Linked DNA regions of Diceros bicornis minor. The protein of the gene in region 1 purifies or fractionates together with the protein of each later gene. This does not show direct contact. Links are inferred from orthologs where the notes say so. Each region holds a gene or a part of one and is shown on either strand. Other genes may lie near its edges. The genes, in order: PFDN4 and PFDN5.

Evidence for each region.
Region 2: the proteins of PFDN4 (region 1) and PFDN5 purify together in Homo sapiens (affinity purification with mass spectrometry; 5 studies listed by BioGRID and IntAct, counting the BioPlex papers as one, with this or other methods). This does not show direct contact. The link is inferred for Diceros bicornis minor from reciprocal best matches to the Homo sapiens genes PFDN4 and PFDN5.

What each region holds. Positions count from the first base shown.
Region 1 is NC_080758.1:8,631,372-8,647,096, forward strand, and holds the start of PFDN4 (prefoldin subunit 4), read right to left. Parts: upstream 6,594-15,725; 5' UTR 5,343-6,593; coding exon 5,259-5,342; intron 4,038-5,258; coding exon 3,930-4,037; intron 3,126-3,929; coding exon 2,985-3,125; intron 1-2,984. UniProt on the Homo sapiens protein: Binds specifically to cytosolic chaperonin (c-CPN) and transfers target proteins to it. Binds to nascent polypeptide chain and promotes folding in an environment in which there are many competing pathways for nonnative proteins.
Region 2 is NC_080756.1:16,970,067-16,985,682, forward strand, and holds PFDN5 (prefoldin subunit 5), read right to left. Parts: upstream 6,225-15,616; 5' UTR 6,190-6,224; coding exon 6,118-6,189; intron 5,945-6,117; coding exon 5,842-5,944; intron 5,531-5,841; coding exon 5,499-5,530; intron 4,566-5,498; coding exon 4,491-4,565; intron 4,375-4,490; coding exon 4,269-4,374; intron 3,258-4,268; coding exon 3,181-3,257; 3' UTR 3,051-3,180; downstream 1-3,050. Other genes in the region: MYG1 exonuclease, read right to left, coding at 2,328-2,440, 2,601-2,816; ESPL1 (separin), read right to left, coding at 7,369-7,570, 7,856-8,020, 8,188-8,271, 8,438-8,553, 8,746-8,850, 8,975-9,145, 9,254-9,409, 9,907-10,029 and 6 more. UniProt on the Homo sapiens protein: Binds specifically to cytosolic chaperonin (c-CPN) and transfers target proteins to it. Binds to nascent polypeptide chain and promotes folding in an environment in which there are many competing pathways for nonnative proteins.

The DNA.
Region 1 (15,725 bases):
AAATAATTTAAATTAATTCTATTCAACTGAATAACTTCTGAGCATCTGTGGATGAAGTTATATTTGGGAAGGATTTTAGGTCAAAAACGTTCTAAACTTGGACAGGCAGCTAAATAACAAAAGTCTGAATGTGGGCATTTTTAATTCATGGTCTATATTTGCTTACTATAGAATAAATCAAGCTTTTTTAATTTTTTTCCAGTTTTTGCTGACTTAAAACCCACAACAGATAAAAGAAAATTAATTCCTAAATTATCATACCCTAATAAAGGAAGAATCATATACATACACTTCTGGTAAACAGTTTATCATAGGCCTGGCTTCTGACACAACCTCTTCCAACTTCCAACAAAAATAACTATGAAACTAGAAGAAATGATAAAAATTCACACTACCACCCATAATTAAGAATAACAACTTACAGTCAAAATCTGGCAGAAATTGTCACTAATTACGAGGACCCTGGAGCTAGACTTTGAGAGAGAGCAGTAATGAGTGCCTTGTTTATAAGAGAGAGCAGCTTTGCCCACATGAAACGCATGAAATTTCAGAAATTCCTTCCTGGCTAAGATCAAAAAAAGGATTCTTCCCAAACATGACAAAGAAAATATGAAACCATACAAATGGTATATCCATTAATATCGGGAACAAAAGAGGAATGCCTAGTATTGACAATGTTATTCTGTTAGAGATCTGACCAATGGTTCTCACAGTGTGGCCCCCAGATCACGTGGAAACTTGTTAGAAATACAAATTCTAGGGCTCCACCCCAATCTTCCTGAATTAGAACTTCCTGGGGTTGGGCCCAACAATCTGAATTTTAACAAGCCCTCCTGTGGGTGATTCTGATGCATGCTAAAAGTCTGAGAACCACTGCTCTAAGACAAGAAATAGAAACAAAATGTACGGCTATTAGAAAGAAGATAATTTCTACACATAGAAAACCTAATTAATAAGTAAAATTACAACATACAAGAAAATTATCTTAAAATCACAAGTCTTAGCATATCACTGTTTTCTTAAAATCCCTGAAAGGCTCCTCTTGCCCTAGGACAAGGGTGAGCAAACTACAGCCCAGGAGCCAAATCTAGCCTGAAGCTGGTTTGGGAAGTTTTACCGGCACACAGCCATGGTGTTCATTTACACATCTTGCTTTCATGGTAATTATGACAGACACCAGGTGGCCCACCAAGCCTAATATATTTACTATCTGGCCCTTCACAGTAAGTGTGCTGACCTCTGCTAAAATAAAGTCAATTTATTCAACTCAACTGACAGAGTTCTTCAAGATCTGGCCACATGTTCAGATGCTCCCAAATCTCCTGGCAATTAAACATCTTTCAGTTCTATCTTTGTACCAGGATCTTTTTATGACCACTCACTCACACACGTTGTCTCTTCCGTCTGAGCAGTCCCTCCCAGTTTCTGGCTAAGACTTGCTGATTTTTCAGTTGTCATCTCATCGCTTTCCCAGGGAGCCCCTCGCTGAACCCTGAGTCTAGATCAGTATAGACCCCCTGCTCTGTGTTCTTAAAGGCAGCTCTACACTCATAGCACTTTCTACTCATTATTAGTTTTACTTGCTTAATTTTCTCTCTTTCTATCTAGACTATATACTCCACGTGAGCAGGGACCTGGCATGTTTCATTGTCCCCTGTGTCCCTAGTACATGGTAGAACCCGACAAAAGTAAGCACTGAATAAATATTTCTGGAATGAATAAATAAATAAATAAAAAAATAAAGGTTCAGTATGGGGGGAAGATGATGTTCACAATAATGACAAAAACCACAAACCATCTTGAAATACTTCCAATAAGAATATTTTAGGATGGTTAAAATAAAAGAGGAATAAAATTACAAAATTTTACTATAAAAGAAAAGATTTAAACATAAGGGCAGACACAATGAATGTTTCTGCATGGAAAGATCCAGGGGCAAAAGTATTACTTCTTCCCAAGGTTTATTAAATGTAGGTTTAATTCATGGAAAGTTTTGCTTTCTACGACATTTGAAGAAAGGAGACTATCATTTTAAATAACATTCAAGTTAATTAAGCACTTTTTTAAAAGATTTAGAAAATGTTTAACTGCCATCAGCTTCTCACACACAATGTGATTGCCCTTCTCATACACAGCTGGAGGGCGTGTGAATTGGAAACTAATTTCATACGATGTCTCAAATGCCTCAAATGTTGTCGATGAATCCATACTCTGATGCGGTAATTAATTACGCTTCTCTCATTATTTCCTTAAAAGAATTTCCTAAATGTGAACAAAGATTTAGGTATTAGAATGCTCGCTACAATATTGCTATGGGGAAATAGCGGAAACAAGTTGATGTTAACCACAGGAGGACAGCGAGCTGAATCAACGTCCTCCAACGTGCCATTAAACAGTCATCAAAAATGCTGCTTTTAAAGCACGTGTGCCTGGCCCAGAGCAGGCTCCCCGTGAGTATCTGCTGGACAAATGAATGTACACTCAACGGAATGAGAAAATACACCTACTAGATGTTAACTGACCAAAATGTGAAGCAAAACTACACAGAGAAAGAGAAGAGAACATAAGAGAAATACATGAAAATGTTCATTATGGACGATCGTCTTTGGGTAGTGGGATTACAGGTGATTTGTCTTTCCCACTTTACAATATTCTGTACTTTCTAAATACTTTTAGTGTAGAGCACAGGCTCTGGAGTCAGAAGATCACTCCCTCTGTGTCACTCTGAGCAAGACCTACAACCTCTCTAAGCCTCTTCAACTCTACACTGGGATTAATGGCACCTATCTCATAGAGTCATTGTTAGGATTAAATAGAATCATGCTTGCAAAGCATTCAGAGCATGCCTGGGACATTGTGAGAACCCACAAAATATTAGCTAGAATCCATTATCTTCCCTACACCTATATTAAATGTTCTTTATAATGATATAAACCCTAATTTATGAGTTAGACTTCATCACTCAGGGAAAGACATCAACACACCTTTGCTTCTTCTAACATTTCTTGTGTTTCTTCTTGAGAATGGCTAATGAAAACATCCCCAATTTGATAAGGTATCATTAAGCAGTCATCATCTGCAAGCATGATGTCCTCACAAGCATCTTCTAAATTTTGGAGTTGTTTCTATAAACACAAAAGTAAACAGCAATGAAAAATATATTCAAAATACCCTGATAAGAGGCTAAAGCCAATATTAATTTGAGGACACTGACCCTCTGAGGGACCCTTTCACAAGGCATTATCACACTAAAATAAGACGTTCTTAGATTTTTAGATGACATTTCATAAGGAAGCACTTAAGAGCTAACTAACACACCGTCCTCTAGATATTTCCAGATTGCTGGAAGAACCTGTGGTGGACAGCGGGCATCTGTGGCCACTCAAAATGTCTCCTACTTTGTGAGCTCTGCCTTCCTAGGGAAGAGCGAACACAGAAACACAAACGGACATTTCTCAGCCTCGCTTGATGACAGGATGAAAGCAAATAATAACTTCAATCCCAGCAAGCAAATGCCCTCGAACTGGACTTCAACTCAGGAGCTGCCTGAGGAGGGAGGCTGGGCACAAGGCCCCTGGTTTACAGGGGCGGGCAGCGGCGGCGGCCCCGCGCTCCTAGGTCTGAGGGGCAGCTTCCTCACTGGGGAGGAGGAGCCGGCTCTGGGATCAGTGGAGACAACAGCAGTCCCGTCACCAGCCAAGTTCTGAGATGTGGTCCTGGAACCTCAGCCTAGAGTCACACCCCTCAACAATCTCTCCATTACCTCACACCCCTTGAACAACGTCCTTCCTCTTAAACTAACCGGCGTGGATTATGTCATCCACAACAAAGAGCCCAGAGACACAATCACATATTATTGAATTTAGTGTTAAAAAGCTATAGTATAAAGAACTTTTATTTTTCTTCAATAAGATACATATTTTCAATACCTTTTTTACTTCTATTTCTTCCTTCAGCTCTGTGATTCTACTTGTATTCCGTGCAAATTTGTTTATCTTTTGTTGATCTTCAAAAGTAACATTGACATCTTCTGCAGCCTGAAAAAACATTTTTTGTAGCATTAAGTATAATGGAGAAGTTACAGGTTAGCTTTTTATATAACTCTGAAATAACTCAATAAACTGTTTGCCCTCACATAGTCAAGAACCACAAGATGTAAAGAATACCACAAACATAGGCCTTATTAATTTTCTGCTCCACGAGCTTAAGATTTGTTCCTAAATCTATAACCTCTTCTGATATTCTATGGAATAATGCCTAAGCTACAAAAACATTTCAAAGATAAACATCAATTAAGAATAAGTCCTCAATCAAGTCAGCCAACTTTTGGCCTAGAGCAGAAATCCTGAAGTTGGAACATTCTTTCATCAAGATAACCCAGGGAGCAAAAAGTGACGTGGTAATTAATTTTGGTAAATGCCTCATACTAGTTTATTCTCTCAGAGTTAAAACTTGCTTAAGCTTGTTGACGCTATCAGAAATCAGACAGTTTCTATAATTTTTAATCTAACTGATACACTGGCTAGAGGGTCACTATGCATTCCAGTGGCTATATTCCACAAATAGTAAAAATTATATTTATTTTAATGTAGAATCTGTTTACATGTCTTAATTATGAGTAATGTGTAATTTACCGTAAAATGATGAATACTGAATGTTTAAAAATATTTAATGTGATTAAGTTTGTAAATAAAATTAGAGTGGTTAGATGACAAAATATCTATGAAACCATAAAAATAACAGCTAACATTTACTGAGCTCTTACTACATGTGAAGAACTTTCTAAGTGCTTTATCATCTCTGCTAATCCTCCAATCAATCTTAACAAGCAGGATCATTAGTACCACTATTTTACAGAGGGAAAAACTGTGGCATAGAAAGGTTAAATAATCTGCTCAAAGCCACACAAAGGATAAGCAGTGAAGCTCGATTTCAACCCAGGTAGTTGCAACTCCAGAGTCCAGACAGGTCCACGAGCTCTTAGAAGTTACAGGCGAAAGTGTGTGTGCATGAAGGGCAGCAGGAAGCTCTTGGTTTTCATCAGACTCTCAAAGGGGGACCACATATTTAGGGAAAAAAAACAAATTAATACCAGACTCTCTTTCGAGTTTCCCTTCATTTATAAAATAGGAACAAGAGCACTTGATTGTAATTTAAAGGAGGGAAAGATAGATATAGTTTCCACAAGGACTATTTTGGGCTCTTTTGCCAATAACAGCAATAGGTTCACGATACCCACACCCCACCCATCCTTTCACCTGGTCTGTTGCCACTCTGACTTCTCCAGAGCTTGAAGGGCAACTTGCTGTCTCGGGCAATAAGGGACTCAGCGGTGAGAACATAAAGGCAGACCCCTAGAACTCAGCCCTCCCCTGGCCCAGGCTCTCTTCATCCAACTAACAGTTTCACATGCGTCAGGCCCATCATCAGAGACCCAGAGGACATCCTGAAAAATTCCTTTACATCACGATATATATAGCTTTGAATGTTCAACCTTGTGCCTAGTTTTTATGAATACAGAAGACGGGAAGCACTGAGCTACACGACAGAAACCAAAGAAAGTCCACGTGCAGATAACTTGGTATTCAAGACGTTTTGCCTACATAAGAGCTATCAATTCCCTAGGCAAAGAGGGAACAGAGAATTCTAAACAGCTCCTGCTTGCCTACAGTTTAAATACTGAGCCCCTGAAAACCTGAATATGTATTTACAGATGCATTTTTCACCGTGAGGTTTAACGGAGTAATTCCCGTGAAAGCACCTAGCACAGGGCTTGCCTGATATATCTGAGGCTTAACGCACTGTCTCTGGATTTGGATCTAAACCATGCTCCATCAGACTCACACACGCCCGGTTTCTGAAAAGCTGTTCAGGGAATGTGGCACCTGCTTTCTATCTTTCCCAAGCAGGCGTTTCCTGTCGCAGCCTCACCAGACAGCAGCCCCAGCACACTTGGCCCTGGAGTTCATTTCCTTAACGGTGGTTTTCTCCCCGGGGTGCAGGGCTAACATCCGCGTGTGAGGGAAATACGCACGGGTTAAACTACGTGCCACCCAGTGGAGTGCTGTTTACATCGAAAAGTGAGACGTCAGCACCTTCCAGGACTAACAGCAGTGGCTTCCATTTTAATCTCACTGATCTACATTGCCTGAAGCATCATTTTGGCACGGAGAAGGTAATTCTTAACTGAGGGTCAGCGGACATTGAGAGGTCCATTTACCCCCTGAAATTGTATGCAAGATGGTGTGTATTGTATGTGCATTCTTCTGGAATAGTCTTCATAGCTTTCATCAGATTCTTAAAGGGATCCACACCCCTAAAAGTTAGGAACTCCTGATTTAAGAGAAGCCACATGTAGTTACTTCCATTCACAAGTCTTAAGAATTCAAGAGGAAGGAGTTATTCTGTAGTATTTGAGGCAGCACAGGTGGTAGAAATAGTAAAGTGGATTCAAATCCAAGTGAGCAGGAGCCTTCAGCAAATTACAGAAGCCCCCCTTATTCACGGGAAAATACGTTCCAAGACCCCCAGTGGATACCTGAAACTGCGGATAGAACTGAACCCTATATATACCATGTCTTTTCCTATACATACATACATAGCAAGATAAAGTTTAATTTATAAATTAGGCACAGTAAGAGATCAACAACAATAACTAACAATAAAATAGAACTGTAACAATATAATGTAATAAAAGTTATGTGAATGTGCTCTCTCTCACTCATTTAATATTTTCAGACCGCAGTTGACCGCAGGAAAGTAAACCCCAGAAAGTGAGGCCATGGATAAGGGGTGACTACTGTACAGTACTCAGTTCTTCAGAGCCACCTCAGGTTTGTCATCTGTAAAATGGGGAAGCTGGTTCCTACCTTGCCAGGATGATAAAATGAGCACCTAGCATAGGTCCTGGGGATGGAGTCACCTTTCAATAAATGATAGCTCGTGCCGGCCCCTGGCTTAGCGGTTGGGTGCGCGCGCTCTGCTACTGGCGGCCCGGGTTCGGATCCCGGGCGCGCACGGACGCACTGCTTCTCCGGCCATGCTGAGGCCACATCCCACATACAGCAACTAGAAGGATGTGCAACTATGACATATAACTATCTACTGGGGCTTTGGGGAAAAAAAGGAGGAGGATTGGCCATAGATGTTAGCTCAGAGCCGGTCTTCCTCAGCAAAAAAAGAGGAGGATTAGCATGGATGTTAGCTCAGGGCTGATCTTCCTCACAAAAAATAAATAAATAAATAAATGATAGCTAAGTGCTTTATTTCCTGAATAATGTTTACCAAAACTCATTACAAAGGAAGAACAGACCCACATCTACAGGAAAATCCTGCTAGGCCTAAGCGAAATATAACTGCTCAAGGTTCAAGATGAAAATCAAAATTCCCTGAACCCTGACTGTACCCTTTTCTTGAGAATCATTATCTCATGGGATTCTGGGAGGAAAGGGAACCATACTCCATCACGCCCCACACTGAGTTTGGGGATTACCAGCAGAATCTGGACTGACAGCTGGGTCCCTCATTGCCCTAAAAGCCTAGCAGGAGGAAATTCTGGGCCATTTCAGTCTGCTCTTATTTTTGTTTTTTAAAGGTATCTACCAAGTCTCTGTGATATAAAATTTTGCTTTGTATTCTTATTCACCTTTCATGCCTACAGTGATTCATTTAATAATTAGTGTTTCCTATATGCCAGGCACCGTGAAAAGAGAGCCACAGTCCTACCCTCATGAACAAAGGCAAGCGTACATTCTGGTGGAGCAGGTGAGCAAAAAATAAGGGGAACCAGATCGTGCTCCATGGTGATACGTGTGACGGGGAAAGAAAAATAGTTTAGGAGCTGAAAGCACTGGGAGTGCTTCACTGGGAGTGAAGGGGGCATCTTTAGAAAGGAAGGTCAAAGATGGCCTCTCTGGGGAGGGGACAGCTGTACTCAGGACAACGAACAGAAATCACAATACAGTCCCTCTCATGCCAAGAACCCGTTCTTAGAAAGCAGAACTTTGGAGATGCAAGGACTGGATCATCTCATCTAAACATTCTCACCAGGAAAGTCATGACCTGTCGGGAGGTAGAATGTGTTACAAATGTAAAATACCGCATATTGCAAACAATTTCTGTTACAGGGCTGGCCCTATGGTATCTCACTCTCACTCACTGGCCTGCCTAAATGTTTCCTCCTAGAGTGGGGGGAGGTGAAGCGTCCAGTACACAGAGCTAACCTATCAGAAACTGTCCACAGCACTGCAAACGTCCACAAGAGGACGCTGCACCTGTCGTGCCAGTCTTACCAAGATACAGAAGACAATCCTTGCTGTTTTGGCCACAACCTGCCCCTCTGTAAGTCTACCCCTTAGGAGAGGAGGTTCATCCTCTCCTCCCCCAATTCCCTGCCACTCTGACCTCCTTTTTATTAAATGCACGCAGGGTCTTTGCAGGAGATACTCTCTCTCTAGAACGCCTCACTCTCTTGCCAACTTTCCTTCCCTCTCCTTCCGTAATCTGAGAGATCCCACCTTCTCAGATCACAAAACAGACCTTATTCCAGCCTTCATTTCACAAGCACTTTTTTTTTCATAGTTCTTATTGGCGTTGGAAACTTGACAGATTTCCATGTGACTATTTGAGTAATGCCTGCCTCTCCCCCAGAGCACCAGTTCTACCGGCTGACAAGGCAGTAAGAACTTCATTACCGCTCACCATGGTTACCTCCCTCACCTAAACCCGAGACTGCGCCATACTAGACGCTCAAAAGTTTGTTCAATGAATGAAAGGAAAAAATGTTGGTAATCAAAAGTTTTGCAAAGTCTAGTATTCAAATCATTCTTTTACCGTTTCCTCAACATTTGTCATCTCTCTGCACTTCAGTTTCCACACCTGTCAAAGCGGATGAACCACAACTAGTATCTTCTGTGGAATTAACAGCATACCTAACAACAGAGGGCCCAATTTAAATACAAAATAGAGGCCGAGTGAATCTCACAGTTCCATACCAGTGTGAATCACCATGGCCCTGAACCCTACTCCGGTACTCAATCAGAATTTGTGGATGACAGACCAACAGAGTGAGCAACTCATCCCGGTTTGCCTGCGGCTTTCCCAGTTTTAGCTCTCCCTTAATCTCGGGCAAACCGGGATGGCTGGTTGCCCTACACCAGAAGCAGGTGGCTCAGACAATGTCAGTGATGCAGAGTAAAACAGCCAAAAAAGCAAGTTCTCATGGGGGGTTTGAAATGGAATGAAAGCGAATATACAAAACCTGGAAAACAAACCCCTTCAGCTCGGGGACTCTCATCAGACATCATGGAAGTTAAAAACACAGGCTCTGGAGTCAGAACGCCTGTGTCGATTTAAATCCTAGCTTTGCCTCTGTGTTTGTTTCCTCATCTGTAAAATAAGGATAAAAACAGTATCTCCCTAAAAGCAATATAAGATCAAAATAATGCATGCAACCCGCTTACAACTGTGCCTAGCACACAGTAAACCTGCAATAATTATCACGTTGTTATTTCCTTGGCCCTCCCTATTTTATTTTTCTTCTACCTGTATATTTTTAAGCATCTGGGTAGACCTACTGGATTATAAACCCTAAATAGAAGTTTCGCTTGCTTAGTGAGATAAAAGCAGCGCTTTGGAAAAACAAAATAAAACCTGAGTTTGAATTCCAGCTCCGCTTCTTATTAGCTAAGTCACTCTGAGGCCACTAACCGCTCTGTGTCTAAGTTTCTCCGCCTGCAAAGTGGGGGGCGACCCGTGTCCTCGCTAAATTGCTGGAAGATCCGAGTTAATAAACGGACCGCTTCTGGGCCGCGGCCCACCGTCTATCATCAATGTTCACGGTTTCGGCCCGGAGGGCGCGCGGGCCCCTGGGCGTGTCGGGGCTGGGCACAGGGGGTGCAGGTCCTGCTCTGCCCCCTCCCGCTGCGTGACCTTGGGGAAGCGGCTCCCCCTCTCTGGGCCTCAGCTTCCCTACTCGCACAGCACGGGACAGTCGCACCCATCCTTGCGAACACGTGAGGGTTAAATGTGGCAACCCAGGTACGCGCCAGCGCAATGGCCCACCGCAGTCAATGGACCTTCGGCTTCACACACCCCAAGGACAAGGCCAGGGCCATCCTCAGCCCCGCGAGGGGCGGCCCCGAGCCCTCCCAGGGTCCCGGCCCGGGCGCTCCGCCTCGGCCGGCCGGGGGCCTACGAAGCCGCCCAGGGCGCCGACAGGCCTCGCCCGGGGCCGCCCTCAGGGTCCGGAGCCGCGGCCCCGGGCCCCCGCCGCGCTCCGGGGCTGCGCAGCCCCAGCCCCGCGGCCGGCCCCCCGCGGCCGCGCATCCCGCACCCCGAGCGCCCCGCTCACCGCCTTCTTCATGGTGGCCGCCATCTTGGGACTGCACTACGGCGCGGGGCGGGGAGGGCCGCGGCGGCGCGCTGCTGCCCCGCGCTCGCCCTCACTCCCTGGCGGCCCGGGACTCCCGCGAAACACACACCCTCGCCACAGAACCCCCGATGGGATCTTCGACCAATCATCCCTCACTTCTGGGACTCAGGGGGAAATGTACCCTGGAAGGACTTGGTACATGCCAATTAAAGGGACAGGCGACTCCCTGTGGGCCGACAGAAACTCGGGGGTGTGGCGAACGGCCGCAGGCTGCAGCGGCGGGCAGCAGGGGGCGCCCAGCACCGCGGGGCAGGGCCGGGGGCGAGGCCACGAGGGGCCGGAAGGAAAGCAGTCCCGCCAACCACGTAAGAAATCGACCTGCCTAAAAAGAGCTGAGGATGAATGACCTTGGCGATAAGATGTGAGATGTATGTGCCCTGATAATTCAGATGGTGTAAAGGAGGGAGTACTCCTATTAATTTATTCAACATATTATTGAGCAGTTACGGTATACTCTGACACTTGTGCCTCTCGATTCTTTTTTTTTTTGTCTCAGGATCCCTTTAAACTCTTAAAAATTATTGAAGAGCCCAAAGAACGTCTACTTATGTGGGTTATATTCGTCGATAGTTACCATATTAGAAATTGAAACTAAGAATTTTAAAAATGTATATTAATTCAGTTAAGATAAAAAAATTCCATATTAATATAAATAACATTTTAAATTAAAAATAACTATCTTTTCCAAGACAAAAAATAGAGAAGGGCATAGTTTTACATTTTTGCAAATCTGATGTCTGGCTTGATTGAAGGTTAGCTTTTCATATCTGCTTCTGCATTCAATCTCTTGCGATATGTTGTTTAGTTGATGTATATGAAGAAAATGTGGTCTCACACAGATATGTAGTTGGAAAAGGGAGGCCCTCTTGGATTCCCTGAAAAGATCTCAGCGACCCCAGGGTCCACGGACCACGGTTTGAGAACTGCTTTAGACAAGTGTCCTTTCTCAAAGTCTCAATTTCCTCCTTGGTTAAGCGGGGGAATGGAACTCTGTAGCACCCTCTGCTTTCCCTACCAAAGCACTTAGCCTTGCGTGAGCATTGCCTGTTCTGTCAGGGTCAGAGCTCCAGACTCCAAGCCCTTTGCATTAGGTCTTCACAGTGTTCAGCTCCTATACGCTCAGTATGTATTCGTTGGATAAAGGAGTTTTTTCGGGGTTAAATCTTTGCACCGTCTGGCACATTGTAGATGCTCCTCAGTGACACTCATTTAAGAGCTCACAAACGACAGCAAAATTTAAAGGCACTGCAGAAACAGACAGCGGAGGAGAAGTGCAAAATCATCCCAAATGGTGCCGAGCGCATGAAGGAAACATGTGAGGTGCTGAGATAGAGAACAGAAGGGAGTGGTGGGGGGGGCTCTCTGGAGGTGGCTATTAGGCTAACCAGAGTGGGAGGAGCCAGCGTGGGAAGAGGAGAGGAAAGGAGGAGTCATTGTCTCTTAGGGAGGAGGGGGATGGCTGGGCTGGATCAGCAGCGCAAAGAAGTCGTCTTCATCTGTTTGGGCTGCTGTAACAAAATACCACAGACTGGGCGGCTTAGAAACAAGAGACATTTATTTCTGACAGTTCTGCAGGCTAGTAGTCCGAGTTAGGGTACCAGCGTGGTCAGGGGAGGGCTCTCTTCCTGGCTTGTAACTGGCACCTTCTCTGTGACTCACGTGGAGAAAGGGGTGAGGGAGCTCTTTGGTGTCTCTTTTACAAGGCCCTACTCCCCTTCACGAGGGCTGCACCTTCATGACCTGATCACCTCCCAGGGGCCCCCCCCTCCTAATACCGTTAACATCGGACACTAGGATTTCAACGCAGGAGTTTTGGGGGGACACAAACATTCAGACCATAGCAGACCTTATGGCTTTCAGTCAGATATTCTGTGAGTCCTTGGCCTTCCGTTTAGCATCATAAGATGGCTGCTGCTTCCCCTAGCATCAGGTCCTCATCCAAGAGCGTGCAAAGGCAGAGGGGAAAGGGGCCGGCGCCCCCCCCCCCCTCGTGGCCTCTGCTCCTCTGGCTTGATCTCACTGTCCTCTCCACTGTGCTCTCGCGCTCTCTTGCTTTCTCTCGCTCTTGAGGAGGAAAGCATTTCTCAGAATCTCCCAGCCCTCTTGCCCTTATGTCTGTCTTATGCCCACTTCAGTCACTGGCAAAAGCAGCTGGATTAATGATTACCTTACACAATTAGGACTGATTCCTTGAGGTTGGAAACATGGCTGCCTAAATAGGAAACTGGGCTGGGCTTCTGAAAACCAGGAGGAGGAGGAAGGACTCAAGGGCTCTTGGGTGTCTTCTATGAGGGAGCTCTGGGTCATCAGATGGGGCTGTCCACGAGGCCTGGGTACCATAGGGGCTGAGCAGAGTCTCCTGGCATGGGGGAGTGTCGTTTAATCTGGACAGAAGGACGGCGGGGTGACCCCTGGCGACCCTGGTGCTGAATTGGCTCCCTCCGGTTCAGAAGTCCTCCTTCTCGTTCTATTTCCCGCCATCCCTATCCCCCCTCCCCGCCCCAGCCCAGGGTGTCCTTTGAGCTCCTCTCTTTCCTAGCAGGAAAACCAGTTCTGCATGTACAAATGGGGACTTTCAGGTCTTCTTCTATGCATCCTCTCACTCCTTAATATTGAGCATTTCCAACCTCTGTTTCTGGTTCTTCTCTAGCTGGGGATTGTCCCTACCTTTTTGGACCAGCAAAAGAAAGAAGCTTGGGGGAACACCTGGAGACCGCAGGTCAGTAAGGAAAGTCACCAATAACCACTGGAAAATGCCATCCCCACTGAGGGTGAATGAACACACCAGGTTGAAAACTGGCCACCCACTGACTGGACCCAAGATATGGGCATTTTTGACCCACACAGTATTTTTCTTAAATTGAACCAACATATGAAAATTAGGAGATTTCACTTGACAGTACCAGATTTTTTGTTTTGCTTGAGTTTGTAAAATCAGAGTCCTGGCGACCTTAAGCCTGCATTCCTGCAGCGCAGCAGCTGCTGGTGCTGATCAGGCGTGGCCCATGCAGCCAGCAGGCCCTCCCCAGGGCCCCCCCAGATCCCCACCTGCCCCGTCCGTGTGCTTACCTGTCACGCCCTCCAGGGATGTGAACTTGTCACCCCCCAGGCTTCTGTTCTCGCAGATCTAAATGAGGAGGTTTGTGTGTGCATTGCCTGAAATCTGTAGATGCTGGTGCGAAAGAGAAGAAATGTGAATTAGACAAGGTGCTGCCCCTCGAGGAGCTTACGGTTGACACACATATGTCACCACTAATCATAGCACCTGGGCTGCAGCCCTGGGACCAGTGCTGAGGGGTCCTGGGGAGGAAGAGCTCCTGTCTCACTGGAGTAGCCAATGAAGCCTCTGGCATTTGTGGCATGTTGACTGGGAGGTTGGAATTGGCTGTCTCAAAATATGTCTCTTTACCTTGATTATTTTCTAAAAGACACTTTGACCTCTCCCCCTACTAACTGATCCATAGACTTGGAGGGTCCTTGCTAAGCTCGTTCTTATCAAAGTTCTGTTTACCAAACATTTACATTTGTAAGGAAGATCTCCATTTGTAAATGTAGCTCCCTCTCTGTACTGGGAAGAGGAGGGAATGACCTCATCTCTAGAAACTTATCAATGTAGAACACAAGGCTGCATAATAACCTTACTGTGCTTTACTGGTAATCTCCCATAACTGACTCCCCCACCCCAACATCCTCCTTTGTCTTTACCTAAATCTATTTAAGAGGAGAACCTCCCCATTTTGTCAAGATACTCAATTACCCAGTGGGTCTCTCCCATGTATACATGTTATAAAGCTTTGTTTGATTTTCTCCTGCTATTCCGTCTCGCGTCAATTTAATTTGTAGCCTAGCCAGATAGGACCCAGAGTGGGTAAAGGATGGTCTTCTTTCCCTTCAACTGGATCACGAAGGGAGGTGCAGGCAGTGGGGCTACAACAGTGACAAAAAGAGACCAACTTCCTCATCCTCATGCACCTTACATTCTGGTGGTGGGACACAGACCATACTTAAAATATAGAAGCAAGTTATACAGTATGTTAGAAGATGAGTGTTAATGGAAGTGTATTATTAATAGCTATAACAAGAACACATGAAATAACAATAAAAGACTATGTAAGTACCAGTATGAAAACTCTATGAAGAAGATACAAAGAAAGAAGTAGTAAGTATGTTGACTGGAAAATTAAAGGGAAAAATAGCTTCTATTTGAATTCACACCTAAGGTACAAAATTGTCCAGACATGTCTCGGCTTAATTTAGATTCTGTCGCAAGACGATAATGAGCTCATTTCATGGCAGTACGTGCTGAGCGGCCTCCAAAATCTGCCATGTCTGCCCAGGTTCTCGGTTCTAAGACTTAAAACGGCAATCTGGATGGGATTACCCTTCCACACCGGCCTTGAGGAGTGAGGGGCAGAGGAGCCAACCCCTTATCAGGTGGTAATTTGTTCAGTGCCTGCAGGGGGCGCCCAAGGATCGTGGTAGTGTTCCCCAGACCCAAGCCAACCAAGTCCACCTTGGTAATATTTTGCTAGAATACCAACAGAACTAATATTTTCTCAATTAAAAAAAAAAAATCTGTTTTTAAAAAGTAGAATAAATACATTTTAAAAGGACATTTAAAATCTCTGACTTAAAGCGGAAACCAGTTTCACTTGCTACAGGAGCAGATTTCAAGGGGATGTAACTAAATCTCCCCTCTGGGAGGGCCTCTGAAGGAATCGTGTTTCAGCCGAGATGTGATCAGGGGGTGGCAGGTAACAGGCCAGGGAAGGGGAGCAGGGCCAGGCCTGCACCGCAGAGCGAGTGACTCCTCACGTTTTCCAAGCTCTAGGCACCTCGTTTGCTTGACCCTGGTGCCAGCCCCGAGGGAGGGAAAGTGGAGAGAGCCTTCAGTATCACATAACAGTAGGCGATCACAGCGTGTCTAAAGAAACGGAAGAAAAAGGCTGGAGAGGAGAGAGCAGAGGAGGAGAAGGAGCCGATGCCTCTCCTCCCCTGCCCCCCACCGTGGGGGAGGGGGTAGCCTATTCCAGGGCCCCAGGGGCCTGCAGGGATGCACTGGAGGGACTGTGCACCATCCCACTGGCCGTATCCAGCTTAGGCAGCGCCTCGCCTCCAGCCACTTGTTGCCGTGAGAGATCCAGTGCGGCTAGAAGTTCCCTTTTTTTCCCACAAGAAAAAAATTTTTTAATGTCAAGTCTCCTGATGTTGAAACCTTCACTCAAATGTATTTTCAAGTTAATTCTAAACCTACCATGTATACCAGCCAGATGGACAGCGCAGGCCACCCACC
Region 2 (15,616 bases), on another chromosome or scaffold:
CTCAGGGGTCAACATGGACCTTGGCTTGGAGTCTCCATTCGTGCACTCACTCCACAGTGGTTAACTCAATGCTTACCACATGCCAGGCTTTGTGTTTTAGATATTAGGGATAAAAAAACAGACCTGTCCCCCAAGTTCATCTGCTAAAGGCAGACAAATGCAGACAAGCAAGCGAATGCTCCAGCTAGTTTTAAACAAGGAAAAGGGGGGAGGGGATGAGGAAAGGGTTCAGGAGGAGAGCCTTCAGGTCATTCCTGCAAGATGAATTAGTGGGTGTTCACCAGACAAAAGGGTGAGGGAGAAAAGGCATTCCAAGTAGAGAGAACAACACGTACAATGGCTGAGAAACAGGGCTCCTCATGGAACTGCAAGTGAGGCAGCTTGGGTGTGAGGAGTGAGTGACAAAAGATAAAGCTGCAGGGGTAGGCAGGGGCCAGATCATGGCAGGCCTTGTACGTCACACTTTGGAGTTTGAACTTTATCTGTGGGTGATGCGGAGCCATTGAGAGATTTGAAGCAGGGAAGAGCACTGTGCCAGCCAGCATCCTGGAGAACAGATGCAAGGAGATTAGCTCCAGATTACCAGGTCCAGGTGAGCGAGGAAGGCAGGAGTTTGAACAGCAATAGGACAGAGAACAGGAAAAAGGTACGACAGTTGTTAGGGAAGTAGAAACTACAGCTGTAATTTCTAAATACCGGTCCGCCACAACCACCTAGGGAGCTCGTTTTTTGTTTTAATGACTTATTATTCAATATTGAGTAAATACAAAAAATATAAGATATTTATAAGGTATAAAGACTAATGACAATAACCCGCCACATAAGGTTCAAAAAGAGGCAAAACTAAATAAATTGTTGATGGAAACAGACATATCTGGTAAACTATACACAAGAACAAAGGTATGATGAACTCAAAATTCGAGATATTGCTACATCTGGGGGAGGAAGGGGATGCAGCAGGGAAGCGGCACAGGTACAGATGCTACGGTAATGGTAATGTTCTAGTTCTTAGGCTGGGAGATTGCTTCATGGGTATTCATTTTATGTTTTACATTCCAGAAATGTTCAATACATTCTTCTATGTGTCAAAAAGTGCGTAATTTAAAAAAATGTGTATAAAATCATTAGGAAAAAGGAAGTAGTCAATAGTCAAGTGCCACAAAGAGGTCAGTTAAGGTGAGACCCTCAGTCAGCAACCCGAGTTTGGTGTTGAGGTCACTGGTGCCCTTTCCATGAGCATTTCCAGTGGCGAGATTGGGAGAGAACCGGCTGAATGAAGGAATGAATTGGAAGGGATGTGGAGCCAGGGTCAGCTCTTCTTTTGAAGACTGGCTGACAAGTGAGGGTGAGAGATTAGGCTGTAAATACCAGGAGGGTTCCCTCCCAACATCATTTATGAAAGTAATATGTATACTTAAAAAAGAGAGGGAGGGAAGGAAGGAGAGAGAGAAAGGGAGAGAAGTACTTAGAGACTTAAAATAAAACCTCCTCATAATCCCTGAGCAGTAACCGCTGTAAACAGTGTGGTTTATGTGCGGAGGTTTTGTTTTTTATTCACTCCTTTGTTTCCAAGACGGGAGATGCTGCTCAAGCAGAGTTTTAGGCTGTAGGCAAGGAGAAGTAGAAACACTGGTGGGAGAATTGTGATGCGGAGTCCCAGAGGAGAAAGCAAGAGATTGGAAAAGGGGCAAGCAGAAGAGAGCAGTGTTTCCTGAGCTGGAAGGAGGGAGCTGAGGACGTGCATGCAGAAAAAGCTCAATTTCCTTTGAAAAGTTAAGAGGCAGGATCACACACTGAGGGAGTCTGATAAGGTAGGGCTTGAGGAGAGGGGAAAGGATTGGAACGGTATTGTGGACAACCGAGTACCCTTGAAAAAGAAAGATTTCCCGATGGAAGAGTGTAAATGAAGCAGAAGACCACACACATCTGAACGGTCAGCAACCAGCACAATCACGCGGGCCCAGCAGTCTGAGGCCGGGCAGCAAAGGCACATGAATAGCTGGGGTACTAGGGGGGGTGATGATGGTGCTGGGGGGTGAAAAGCCTGACTGAGCCAAGGAAGGTGAGTGGGGAGGGGCCTGACGACTGACAAGGGAGGCCGGGACAGATGCCAGGGCTCAGGGAGCTCCAAGGCCAGGTGGATGGGCCCGGAGCAGGCAGAGCTGGAAGGATGGAGGGCTGTAGTCCCATGGGACTCAAGAGTTTGCTTTCAAGGATGAGGCAGGCACATCCCTTGGCTTACACGGACCACAGCAGCGGACGGCTGAAGTGGAGCTGAACTTGAGGAAAGTTCAAGGAAGCTAAAGACATGGAATCTGGAAACCCACCTTTGGTGATGGTCATATCGATGTCTCTGAGGATCGTACTCGCCGCCCACGTCTACCACGATGTCACAGGAAGCCAGTTTTTCGGGGTCTCGGGTCCGCACAATCTCTGCGTCCTGCAGGGGACACAGGAGGTGAGGGACTGCCAGGGGTCGCGCGGGTAGAGGATTAACTGGGTGTCCAGAGGAGTCGCGCGGGGAGGGGCGGTGCTCGGGCCCGAGCCACCACAGGGCCCTCGTGAGGGGCGGTCCCAGGGTCCGTTTCCGCGGACCGTACCTGGTACTCGGGCAGGAGGCGCAACAGCGCGCACGCCAGGGCCTCGTCGCAGTGGAAGGTGCCGTTGTGGGTCCCGATTCGGAGCGGTGCCATGAGGTGGCTGCGGGGTCGTTTGGGGGGCGGGACGGACTCGGGGCCGAGCATGCGGGACCGGGCCTCCAGGGGTGGCGGCGGCCGCAGCAGAGGCAACAACCCGCGCAGGAAGCGGCAGCCCATGCAGCCTCCCCGCGGGGGAGGGGGGACCCGGAAGCGGAAGCGGACGCGCAGCCCCACTTCCGCTTCTCGGCCGTTGCCACGGTAACCGCCCTGTAGGGAGGGCACGCTGCCGGGGTTCCCGAGTACGCAACTCCCAAGCTTATCAGGCTCCGGCGAGGGGGGAGGGGCACACCCTCTCGACCACCGCCCCCAGCTCATCACCAGGCCCTTGCTTAACGCAAGAAAAGACCGACATTCTGTCCCGCTGGCACGTTTATTAGCAAGAAACACAAGACCCTTCACTTTCCCCGACTCCAGGAAGCCACGCCCACAAAGTCCCAGGCCGCTAAAGCGGATGCCTCTGCCCCATTTCGGTAACAAGCTCTCAGGCCTTTGCGGTAGCCTGAGATGCCCCCAGGGCTGTGAGCTGCTGAATCTTCTGGCTCATCATCTCCATGACCGCTGTGAAAAAGAAGTCAGAGCCTGGTCAGGAGCTAAAGGAGAGAACCTAGAGGTCAGGAAAAGTGACAGGGACGTTTAAGGACAGGCAGACAACCTGCTACAGTTTGTTAATAAAACTTTTAACAGTGATCCACTGTGGGGGACACACACTAACACAAATTTAGAGTCTACACTGTGTCAGTCAATATAACCACTGGGATAGGAAAATGAACAAAATACAGTATTCAATGAGTCAGACATAACCAGGAAATTATAATGTGGAAAAGATTTTTGCCTTTAGAACAGTGGTTCCCAATCCTGACTGTGTAACAGAATCACCTGGGGAGCTTTTTAAAAAACACTGACCCCTGGAATCCCCCTCCCTACCCCCCGGGTGATTTAGTTGGTTTGGATGAGCCCAGGCTTTCTTTTCAAACCTCCTTGGATGATTCTAATGTGCAGCAGCCAGGGTTGCAATTGCTGGTACTTAGTTAAGGCTTTTTTTCTTTTTTTAATTTTAATTTATTTTTTTCCCCCCAAAGCCCCAGTAGATAGTTGTATGTCATAGCTGCACATCCTTCTAGTTGCTGTATGTGGGATGTCGCCTCAGCATGGCCAGAGAAGCGGTGCGTCGGTGCACGCCCAGGATCCCAACCCGGGCCGCCAGCAGCGGAGCGCGCGCACTTAACCGCTAAGCCACGGGGCCGGCCCATGGCTCTATTTCTTTCCTGTGTTCACTTACATGTATCTTCTCCCCCATTCCATCCTAATTAATAGGAGCTCCACAAGGGCACAGACATGATTTTCTTCCTCTCAATTTCTCAAGCACTGTCTCCACGCCGCCCCACCCCCAGGAATCTACAAATAGCAGGTATGTAATGCACAGAATCTAGAGAATAAACACATCAAAACACCAAAGAAAAAGACATGGTTTTAGTCCAGTAAAGGGGACACCCCTCTGGTTCACCTGCAATCCATGTTCTCTATCATAGATATAGAAAGGGTCAAGCAGTGCCCCCAGGCCAACCTTACCCTGTTTCATGGCATGCTTCTCCTGCAAAGCTGGCTGGATTTTCTCCATTTGCTTGGTGAGGAAGTCTACCTTCCTCTTGAAGAAGTCCTTGGCATCCTCAGCTGTCTGCAAGGTCAGAGGTGAATGAGGAGCTAAGAGGAGACTCCAATGCTGCACTCTAGTCTTCCCCTAAACTCCCTTTCCCCGCTCACAGGAGTATGCACATGCTTCCTCCCACTCACCTTCTCTACATAGTAGCCAGTTCCCACATCGATGAGGACGTGTTCCACATCATGCAGCTTCCCAGGGACATACATCTGAGAAGCAAGGATTAAGGGAAAACTAGCCCAGCAGGAGTCATGATTCCCTGTCACTAGCCTGCTTGGCTTTCTAAGACCCTCCTTCTCTAAAAATCTCCGAGGCACAGGGACTGAATCATCTGGAGGCCCTAGAACTATACCTATAAACTCCAAATGGGGAGAGACAGAGAAGCTGGTTCCTTGTGGAGAAAATGACATAGGCTGGAACACTTTTACCCTGATCCCATCTCCCACCTCCAAGCAGTTCTTACAATTCTTCCCATTAGCCCCTCCAGAAAGACAAGACATAATATATTCTCACTGCTGTAGAGTGTGAAAAGTGAAAAGCCAGCCTCACTTCCCCTCAGCACTCCCAACTATGAACTACTTAATTCCTGATGGATTTAGTGCTCATTATCTAGCCAATCCCTACTACACTGCTATTCCTGTGTTTCTCTTTTAGCCTGTCAGTTCTCAGACTAGTCTCCAGGTGCCCTATTGTCATAACTTACTCAAGTAAAACACTCAACAGGTAGACACAACCCAGGTTTCTTAGTAACAAAAGGTTAGGAATAAGAGCCACAATTAAGCTGAAATTGAGGATTAATAAACAGAGCCAATCCCTTTGTTTCTATATCCTCTTATTCTATTGCTTATGTCTTCTAAGTTATTAGTAAAAGTGTAAACCACCAGTTTTATCTCCATATTAGATTATATCCTCAAACAGCAAAAGGAAATAATCACACCTCAATTCTACATATTTCCTGCTCACAAGGCATTGACTGGATGTTGGCCCCAGGTTAGACAGGAGAGCTACGAAGTGTGTATAATAAGAGTGTTCTCAGAACCATGGGGGCACTCTGGAATAATCAAAACTACCTCCCACCCCTTTTGGGGAGGGGGGAAGGAGAAAAGGAGAGGGCAGGGTAGCAGTTCGTGTGGAAAGGATACAGAACTCGTCAGTGGGACGAGTAATTCTTTCCCTGTAAAAGCAATTAAGACAAACATCTGGGGAAGGTGGGCACCTCCGACGTTAAGATGTTAAAAGGGAACTCCAACATGACACAGCGCCCAGAGATAGTATGAAAAGAAGGGAAACGGGGAACAGGAGCAGAGGAATGTCCTGTACATTTCAATGCTAGGCAGGCACCATGCAAAGGGCTCGTGTAGCGGCAGACAATATGTAACGGATTGCTTTCTCGTCTCGGGTAAGGGCAACTGGATTAGGAGGCGGGACGAGAGAGGAAGCCGGCTCGCCACACCCCCCGGTTGCCTTCACACGCCTACCCCATACCCTCGTTGCTCCTGTTCAGGACGTTCAGACAGTCCTTGGCTTCCACATACTTGGTCTGTACCACCTTGAGCTGAGCAATGGACGTGGACAAGAACTCCACTTCCTACAGAGGACGGGAAAGAGGGTCAGAGTGGGAACCTGCGGGTCCTGGGACCTGATGGGGGTTTCACCTGGGAAGAGAAGCTTCCCAAAGTGGGGAGGAAGGGGGGCGAGGGAGTACGCGTGGGCAGGAGGGATGCGAGGGGGGAAAGGGCTGTCTCTGGGGCCCGTCCCCACCTGATCCAGCTGGTTCTTGAGCATTTCTAGCTGCGGCAGGTTCAGCTCCGTGATGTTAACCGACTGCGCCATGTTGGGGAGGAGAACTAGCGAAGCGGAAGGCGGCTCTGCGAGCAGCGCTCTAGCCTTCCCCTGCGCGCCTCGATGGCTGCGCGGGAGGCCTCGCTGCGCCAGACATCTCTATGATCCCCGTCCCGGGAGGGGCTGAGCTTCTCAGACTCGCCTTTGATGAGAGAAGGTAGTTGTGCGTTCTCTGCATAAGACATCCCAAGCCTAGCGTAGTAAAATTGTGGCAAACAGGACTCCTGCCCTCAAGGAACTTAAAAATCTTAAAAGTACTCAGGCCATAACCGCAATTTTGCAAAGCAATGTATGCTACTCCACGTGGATGGTATAAACCCGGTGACTGAGAGTCAAGGAAGACGCCTGGGAAGTGCGGGGTCAGGGGGAGTAGCGTCGTGAAAGTGGTGCTGTCGGCATGAAGCTGAGGAGTCTAGGGGTGGAGAGCATGATCAAGAGCCACGTTATCAACGGACGAGTACGGCACAAGGTTTATTAATCAATGCAATGTCTTACCGTGTGCTAGATGGAGGGATAGGGGAGAGGTCTGTGCTTCTGAGGAGCTTAACAATCTCTTTGGGGAGACAGAAACCATGCATAAACAGCGGAGCCCCACAAAATCCGCTGCTGAAGTGCACGGCACCGACCAGTGTAACAGCTGTGTGTGGGGAGAGAACGGCCTCTAACGTCCAACTTTGGGAGTTGGGGGGGGCAACTGAGGCATTAAAGCTAATGTCACTGCCAGGACACCCGAGGGCAGGAAGACAGGACAGAAATGATGGTGCCTGCTCAGGACGCTCCCAGTGGGTCTCTCTCTACCCTTCCTTGGGCCTCTGTCCCCACTTAAGGCATTTTGATGCCCCTCTCTCCTTCAGCTTTGTCTGCTGAGGCCAAGCCAGGCCCAGCTTTGTCCTGTGGTTTTGCCTTTCTCCCCAAGGCTCTCAGACTTGAACTCCTGTGAGCTGTTCTCATCTGTTTATAGTACCACATGGTCGGTGGGGGGCAATAGTCTTGTCTTCAAATGAATTACACAAAACAAGATTTAAATAATGTGTCTTTATTACATTAATGTTAAATGTTTCATATAAAACACTGGGGAAAATCACTTAAAATTTACCCTAAGGGTTAAATCTAAGTTTGGAGGTAGAACAGTCACATGGCTTCTATCAGCGATAGGACAGTTCCAAGGGATCACTGCAGGAAGACGGGCAAGCCATAGGCTACAGGTGCAGCCCCAATAATATACTTGAGTCGGGGAGCCTGGCGGGCCTGGTTGACATAGTAGAGAAGGGGGGCTCCTGGGCCTGCTCCAAGCCAGCCCTGCAGCAGAGCCTCCGTGTAGCGGTCAATGTCACGGTCAGTCACATCCCAGAGGTTACCCAGGAACAGGGGGCTGGGAAAAAAGAAGGAAGAAATACAGAGTAAAGGCTCTAAAACAGAATACACAGGAAAACATGATTGGCTGGTGATGGGTGGGTAGAGAGAATTGAGCCAATGAGGAAGTCCCTGGGCCCATAGTTCTAAGAGGAGAGAAGAGGGTAAAGGATTAAAGTCCCAGGCATGCCAGGGGACTAGGATGGGAGGAAGGTGGGGTACAAGAGAAGAAGGATTTAGGGTTCAGACCTGGGAAGGAACCTGGGGTGGGGACCTAGGATGGGCTTTGCCTCTCGAGACTCACCAGCCAGCCATGATATACTTGAGCACAATGCCAGCCCCCTCCAGGTTTCCATGCACAGCCAGGGCTGCACTGCTGCAGCCAAACAGGAGGGCCACTGCTCGGCAGCTCAGCCGCAGGACAGTCTGTCCATCCAGGAAGCGGGCACCAGCCCCATGCCCTGCATAGCTGAGGCAGAAGGAGGTGAGAGGAGCCTGAATGAGCAGTATCAGGCCTCTGCTATGTCTCCAGAGGCCTCCTGACTCAGCCAGGGGCTCTAAAGCCCCAAAGCAAACCATGATGATACCCTCCTCTGGGACAGCCCCTCTCCCTACCTCCCTGCCCTAAGCACTCACATATATAAGTCATGCTCTGTCAGGGCTGCCTGCACCTGTTCCGGACTCGGCACCTCCCCGACCACCCCTTTCCAGCCTGCTTCACTGCAGGGAAAAAGCAGGAGTAAGAAGAGGGGCCACAGAGCAAAGAGGGCAGAAGGAACGCTAGGGAGAGGGTGGGCTGCAACAGTTCATTCTGGAGAAAAGGACATGGTGCCTGCATGTTGTCGCCACCCTTCTCCACCCCCTTTCTTACTCTTATCCCCCCGACCTGCTAAAATGGGCTCGAAATTGCTCCTCTGTGTTTGACAAGTTATTGTGAGGGTTCAGGACGTAGAAGGTACTGCGCGGATCCACCCCTTGGCTCAGCACCGATGAGGCCCCAGCCTGAGGAAGAGACAGTGGTTATCAGGATCCTGGTCTGGCCAGAGGGCTGCAGCCCCACAAACTCTAAGCCCCTGCCATGACTGATCCATTCCTAAGACCTTTTCCTTTCTTCCCAGGTCTCTCTGCATTTTCTTTCTTCAAGTCCCACCCAATCACCAATCACCCCCATGCCCCACTCCCTGAACCCCCAACCTCTTTGATGATGGAGTAGCTGAGGAGGAATCGGAAGGAGGGCAGCCGAGTGACAGACAGTGCCCGGAGGCTGGGCATGCTCTCCCATGGTAGCTTCTGCAGGTCCTGGGCAGAAAGCACTGAGAGGTTACTGTCCCTAGCCAGGTATACGCAGGAGTCAGAAGGGGCGTGGGGGTGAATAGGTGCCCACTGCCCACCAGACACTGCCCCTCGGGCCCCAGCTCCTTACCTTGTCTAGCACTAAGACAAGGTGCCTATTGCTTGGTACCGCCTGACCCCGTAGACGCCCTATGGCCTCACTCAGGAGCTCGTGGGCTCGCTCTGGCTGGGCAGGGCACAGCCCACAGGCCAGGGCCTGCACGTCCTGAGCAGTGAGAGTACTGGCAGCACTGAGCAGGATCTGCAGGGGCACAGCGGTCAGTGAATGCCACAGCTCCAGCTCCGCTCACAGTGGCAGGTGGGAAGGAGTTAAGTCTAGCTTCTGCCCCTTCCCTGATTCTCAACTCACTTTCAGCAGAGTGGGGTCAGGATATTTCCAGCCACATCCCTGCAACAACTCCTGTAGGCGGGAGGCCTCCTGGGCAGGGCCGGGGTCCTCACTGGATGGCAGCAACAGCCCCCTCCAGCAGCCCAACACAACCTTCTCCAGCGATGTGACGAGAACCTGAATGTAGAACGGAACTTTCAGGCAGAGAGGGAGCCGAGTTTCTTTCCCACAGGCACCGACACCGAGAGGAGGAAATGGGTTTTCCTGTGTGTCTCTGTCTTACATTTCCTTCTGCCAGTCATAGAAGGCAAGAAGCTAGAAACATGTTTCATCTGCTGCGACTTGGGGGCAGTACAGATGAGATGATTTATTACCTATCACTATGTTTTGACAAATACGAACAGGTGGGCAATGACAGCAAAACTGTGAAGCTGACACTTGGGCTTAAATCCTTTTTCTTGTGTGTATCTTTAAACATTCCATTGTCATAACTCCTTCAAGTTCTGGGCTCTTGTCTCAAGTCCTTCCCAAGTGACATAATTTTTTATTTAGGCCTACACTTCCAGAAAGGGCTAGAGGTGGCTCGGCACTGAGCTGGGACCCGTGAGAGAGGACATTGGCACTCCAGATCGTTCCTAGGGCAGCCTGACCCCACCCCCCCTGGGGGCACACACCTCCATCCTGTGGTCCAGTCCGAGCCGCCCTGTCCACCATTCTCGCTTGTCAGTACAGCTGCTGTTCTCTTTCTGTTCCTTCTGGATGGCATCAAACTCTTTCAGGGCCAAACTCAGAGGCAGCTTTGGGAGACGGGGCTATGAGATATCTGCTTGTCCATGTGAGCACCATCTCTCCACCCCCCAGCCACAGAATGTGAGCGGCTTGACCAGAAGCCCACCCCAGCCCAACTTTGCTCCCTAGCCCAGGACACCTACCTCGCTCTGGGCAGTGGGGATCTGCACAGTGACTGGGGGACTGTCTTTTTCCAGCCGGGTCAGCAGGAGGGTGTTGCCCACAGTTCCAGGCTGGAGGGTGGCCAGGGCCAACACACACACAGTCACCCCTGACACACAGGACATAGCCAGAATCATTTCAGCTGTCACAAGGAATTCCCTTCCCTGTCTTTTGCATTCAATCCCTATCCTGCACTCAAGACAACTCCAAGAAGTCTTTTGTGGTCACTGGAGTGCAAGGTGCTCTCCCTTGCCCTAACAGCTCCCTATGGAAAGAGACCATGTCTTGTACTTCTTTGTGTCCCTCGCTGAAACTAACAAAGGGCCCTGCAGAGTGAGGCACTCACATCCCCTGTGAACCTGTATCATGTGAGCGTAGGAAGACCCTGGACCCCCGCACTTATCCTTAAAGAAAGACAGTTAACTTGCTGGTAACTCAAAGTTAAGGTCAAAAAAAGAAAGACTTCCAGATTTACAGTATGTCTGTTTGGTGAGAGTAACAAAATGACTAATCAATGAAAAGGTATGACGTGTCCTTCTATAAGGATCAGAAAACTACGTGAACTAACTGATGCCTTCAGCACCTTCACCCAACTCCTCAGCAGGAAGATGCATGAAAGGACAGGCGCGCCAGCCGGAGGCTGCCACCATACCACTGGGGATCAGAGCCAGGCGCTCCTGGAAACTCTTCTTCTCAGGCTGGGGGAAGTGGCCAGATCCTGAAGCCCTGAAGGAAAAGAGGCGCTGGATGCGGGCCAGGGGGACGTCTTGGAGCCTCTCCTGGAGGCTCAGCCCCTGCAGCTGGTCTTTCATATCGAGCGATCCTCGGTGCTTCTGGGCCTTGCTGCAGGCAACACAAGTAGGGGTGAGTTCTCCCTCCTTCAGAGTCTGGACTCTCCCTTCAGTCTGCTCCAGCACAAGCCTTGCGGATGGTGGGCACTCACCTGAGCTGCCTGTGGAGGTGGGTGAGCAGCTGGTGGCGGGAGGTGATGGAGACAGACTCGGTGACGAGGCAGGCAGTGGCAGAGGGGTCCCGGTGGCCCAGGCACAAGGCCAGGAAGCGGCAGAGGTGAGCGTAGAGCCCACTGGGAGGGCAGTGACTGACCCCACGGAAAGCGATGCTCAGTGAGTCACAGATGGAATCCAGGGTAGAGAGACCTGGAGGAAGGTCAAGACACTCGCTGCAGTGAATCCCCTATTTCCTAGCTGACAGGAACTTTACACAAAGGAGTCCCTAGCTCATTTCCCACTTGGAAAATGGCAGCTAGCATTTATGAAGGGCAATGTGCCAAGCGGGGTGCTGCACAATTTACATGCATCAACTTAATCCGTCCTCCCCAAACCCCATTTTACAATTAAGATAATAGAAGCTCAGGGGCTGGTCCCGTGGCCTATTGGTTAAGTTTGGCGCACTCTGCTTTGGCGGCCTGGGTTCAGATCCTGGGTGTGGACCTATACTACCTGTCGGTGGCCATGCTGTGGTGGCGACCCACATACAAAATGGAGGCCGACTGGCACACATGTTAGCTTAGAGCTAATCTTCCTTAAGCAAAAAAACCCCAAAAAAACAGAAAATAGAAGCACAGAGAGGTTAAGTGACTTGCAAACAGCTAGTGGAGAGAGTGCTGAGATTCAAACCCAGGTTCAAAGGCAACTAGAACAAGATGGGGATCCAAAGCCAGAACCAAGGACAGACTGGAAAGGCACTGGGATCAAGAGACCTAGAGACTCAGCCCTCTCCAAATGACCAGACCTCGGTGGTCAGCATATTCACCAATGGCTGCAGGTGCCGAGGGGAGTTGGAGCCAAGGACCGAGATCCTTGTCTCTCTCCTTGCCTGGGCCCGGGATGGGCAGCTCCTCTTTGCTGGCATCCCGTCTCAACACCTCACATTCTTCTATGGCTGTATCAGGCCCTGCCGCTGGTGCCTTCCCACCTGGGGAAAGAACATGACTTTTCTGTGGAGTTCCCTCCTCCTGCCATCCCTTTTGTTCTCCCTTCTAGGATCCAGTTCCAGAGCCAGCAAAAGAACTTTCTTTCTGTACTATCTTTGGCACCAGTCATTTCTTGTGCTTTGGCCCCAGGGCAACCCCCCAAAAACACATGCACCTTCTATCCCCCACCCTTGCCATCATACCTGAGGCTGAGTCTTCCCCATCAGAGCCCCTGAGGATCTCAAAGCTCATTTCCATCCAGTTGTCAGTCAGTTCCTCTTCAGGGATGGTCCTCATGATCTCGGGGCCCAGCTCCTCACAATGTCCTGATGCCACCTTCTTGGCCCTCCGGCTCCTGCCACCGAGGCCAGGGTGCCCAGGGGCACTACCTGGGACAGCCACCGCATCAGTCTTCGAGCTCGGGCCCTTCCTAGCTCGGCCCCGGCCCCGGCCCCGGGAAGCAGTGCTCCGTCTCTGGGGCCCCTCTGCAAGCCACGCCTCAAGTGAGACAGGATCTTCCAAGTCACTGTCATCACTGAAGTTCACCTGGGATGGGTGGGAAGGGAAGAAGGGCCAGGGGGTCTTCAGTGACAAGACATCGTCTGCCAGCAGGTGGCGCTGTGGGGGCACCATCACAGAGGCCTTTGGGGAAGATTTAAGAATTAACCTCCCATGTACACCCACCACACTCAACCAGGGGCAGCAACTCTTGGGTGTGGAAGGAGGGAACAGAAGATGAGGAGGAAGGATAAAGGAAAGGAATGGTAGAGTTAAGGAAAGTGCCTTCTGTCTGAAACAAAGGTAGACTTGGAACTAGGCCTTGCCGTGTGTAGGGATCCTGCAGATAACCAGAGAGCTGAAGGTCCCATCAGCCCCTGCAAGCTATTCCATAGAGACCCCTGCTCTGCAGAGCTCCTCTCCAGGACCACCCCCACCCGACACCAACACCACCTAGCCACAGTCCCACCTCACCTTGAGGCGTGTCTGGATCCTCTGTTGTACCCTGGGGGCCTTGGGAACCTCAGGCTTGCTCTGTGTAGGGCAGACTTCCTCAAACACGGTGAAAGGGACACGAGGGCCAGCCTGCCTGACCCGGCCCGGGGGCTTAGGTGTACAGGGTGGTCCTCCACCTTCCAGACCTTTCAGAGAGGTATTATGGAGGGGTGGGGTCGCAGAGACCACCTGCTGGCGCCCTCGTCCAGAATGCTTTTGGTGCCGAGGCTTAGGGGGCTCTGAGCCTGGGGGATTCTTTACCAGTGGTGGTTGCCAGCCCCAGGAGCTTGCAAAGAGCTGGGTAGTGCAGCAGCTGAGGCCAGCCACCTTTGCAAGGGCCTGAATCCAGAGTAGGCTGGCTCGCCAGGGCTCCAGGTGGGGTATCTGTGCTGCCACAAACTTCAGTCCTGACTCCAAGACCTTCCCCAGACTCTTGTTTGATGGCTGGCTCAGCCCCTCCAGTGCCAGCTGTGTGTATGCCTGAGCCAAGATCTCATCCAAGAGGCTTGGGACAGGGGAGGGGGGTGCTTTGTGATTCAGGGAAGCTTGCAGAGCTTGGGCGAGGCGCTCAGTGGCTGCGGGGCAACCCTTCAGCACGACCTGCAGCAGATCCAGACCCTGGGCCTGATGGCCCAAGGCCAGCCTCACCCCTGCTGTGACCAACACCCAGCGCAGACAGACTGTGGAGAGGACAGGGCTGGCACAGAGCAAGCAGTCACAGGTGGGCGAATGGGTCAGGAAGCTGGGGCTGGGCTGGGGCTTCATTTTCAGGATTGGCGAGGAGTTAGTAGAAGGTGCTATGGGGCCAGGCTCCTTGGCCACAGTGGCCACCAGCTCCAGGGCAGGGCCTCTTAGGAAGGGCTCCTCCTCTGGGAGGTCCGGAGGACAGGGGACTCGGGCCTGTTGCCTCCCCTTTTGTGGGAGGACCTTCTTCACAGAGTCTGGGTGCTGGGCTAGTCCACCAAATTCTGCGGAGAGAGCAGAACAAGAATTACAAAACTGGGAGAAATGAATAACTCCAAAGAGAAATGGTAGTTATACTACTAATGCCAGCTACCCAGAATTTTTCATTTTTTTGATAATAATTTATTTCAAAACTTTTTTCCCTCATCTGGCAACACAGATCAGGTTAAAAACAAGCTTGTAAATCTTTTAAAACCTGAGTGAGATTAAAAATTTTTGGTATATATACTGGATCAATGCCATTTGTAAGTTCTGTTGTTTCATGAACTCTAAGAAAGGACAGTAGATTACCAGATTTATAGTGGAATAAAATTTTTCTAGCACTTAGAATGGATAGGTACCAGATTCAAAAAATCAGAGTAACCCAATGTGTACATATATATGTATTATATAGGTATATATATAATCTATGTATGTATTTATTGTAAAACCATATATAGTGTAGTGATTAATAATGCACAAATCAGTAAAAATTATACATATTTTAAAATAAAATGTTTTTACTGTGGAATATATTTAAACCATCTTAAAATTCAGAAGTGTAAATGTTTATTGTAGAATAAAAAGCATGCTTGACATTAAAAAAAAAAATACTGGGAGAAATGATACCAAGAGCTTCCTGAGCTACCCCCAGGGCCCACCTCCTAATATATGTGTTATTTACTTACTAATTACTCATATACATTACTGTATGAACATACTAAATATTAGTATGGCTTATTATTTTTTTGATAAAATCCCTAATGTTTTTTTCCCATCCAACAATGAATCAGTACAGCCCATGAAGCCCCCATAGCTGCAGCTCAGAAGGCTGCATGGAGCCAACCCTGATGGCCTAGCAGTTAAAGTTTGGTGCAGAACCACACCACTCTTCTGTCAGTAGCCATGCTCTGGTGGCAGCTCACATAAAAGAACTAGAAGGACTTACAACTAGAATATACAACTATGTACTGGGGCTTTCAGGAGAAAAAAAAAAAGAGAGAGGAAGGTTGGCAACAGATGTTAGCTCAGAGCAAATCTTTCCCAGCAACAAAAAGAAGGCTGCATGGCTCAGGATAGCGGGCCAGCATCAGAGGCCCAAGTCTTAATCCTGGCTCCTGCCCCTGACTGCCCCATGATCCTGGCCCAAAACACTGAATTTCTCAACTTTCTCATTTTACAAATGTAAACATCTATGTTCCCACCTGACTTTCCAGGGTTTTGTGTGGGTGAAATGAAATACTAGAGGAAAGAGTGGTTGATAAGAAAAAATGTACCATAAATACAATATTTTATTATTACCTGAAGCCCTCCTGAGGACACGACATTTGTGCTACCCAGTACAGTAGCCACCAGTCACGTGTCGCTATTGAGCATGTGAAACGTGGCGAGTGACTAAGGAACTGAATTTTAAATTTTATTTAAATTAAATTTAAATGTAAACACTGAATGTGTTAGCACTGAATGTGTTAGCACTGAAAACTAGAACGAGGTAGGGTTGGTCCTGGACAGGCTACCTGAAGGAGGGACACCGATGGCCTGACTGAAGAAAAGGGAGCTTTGCC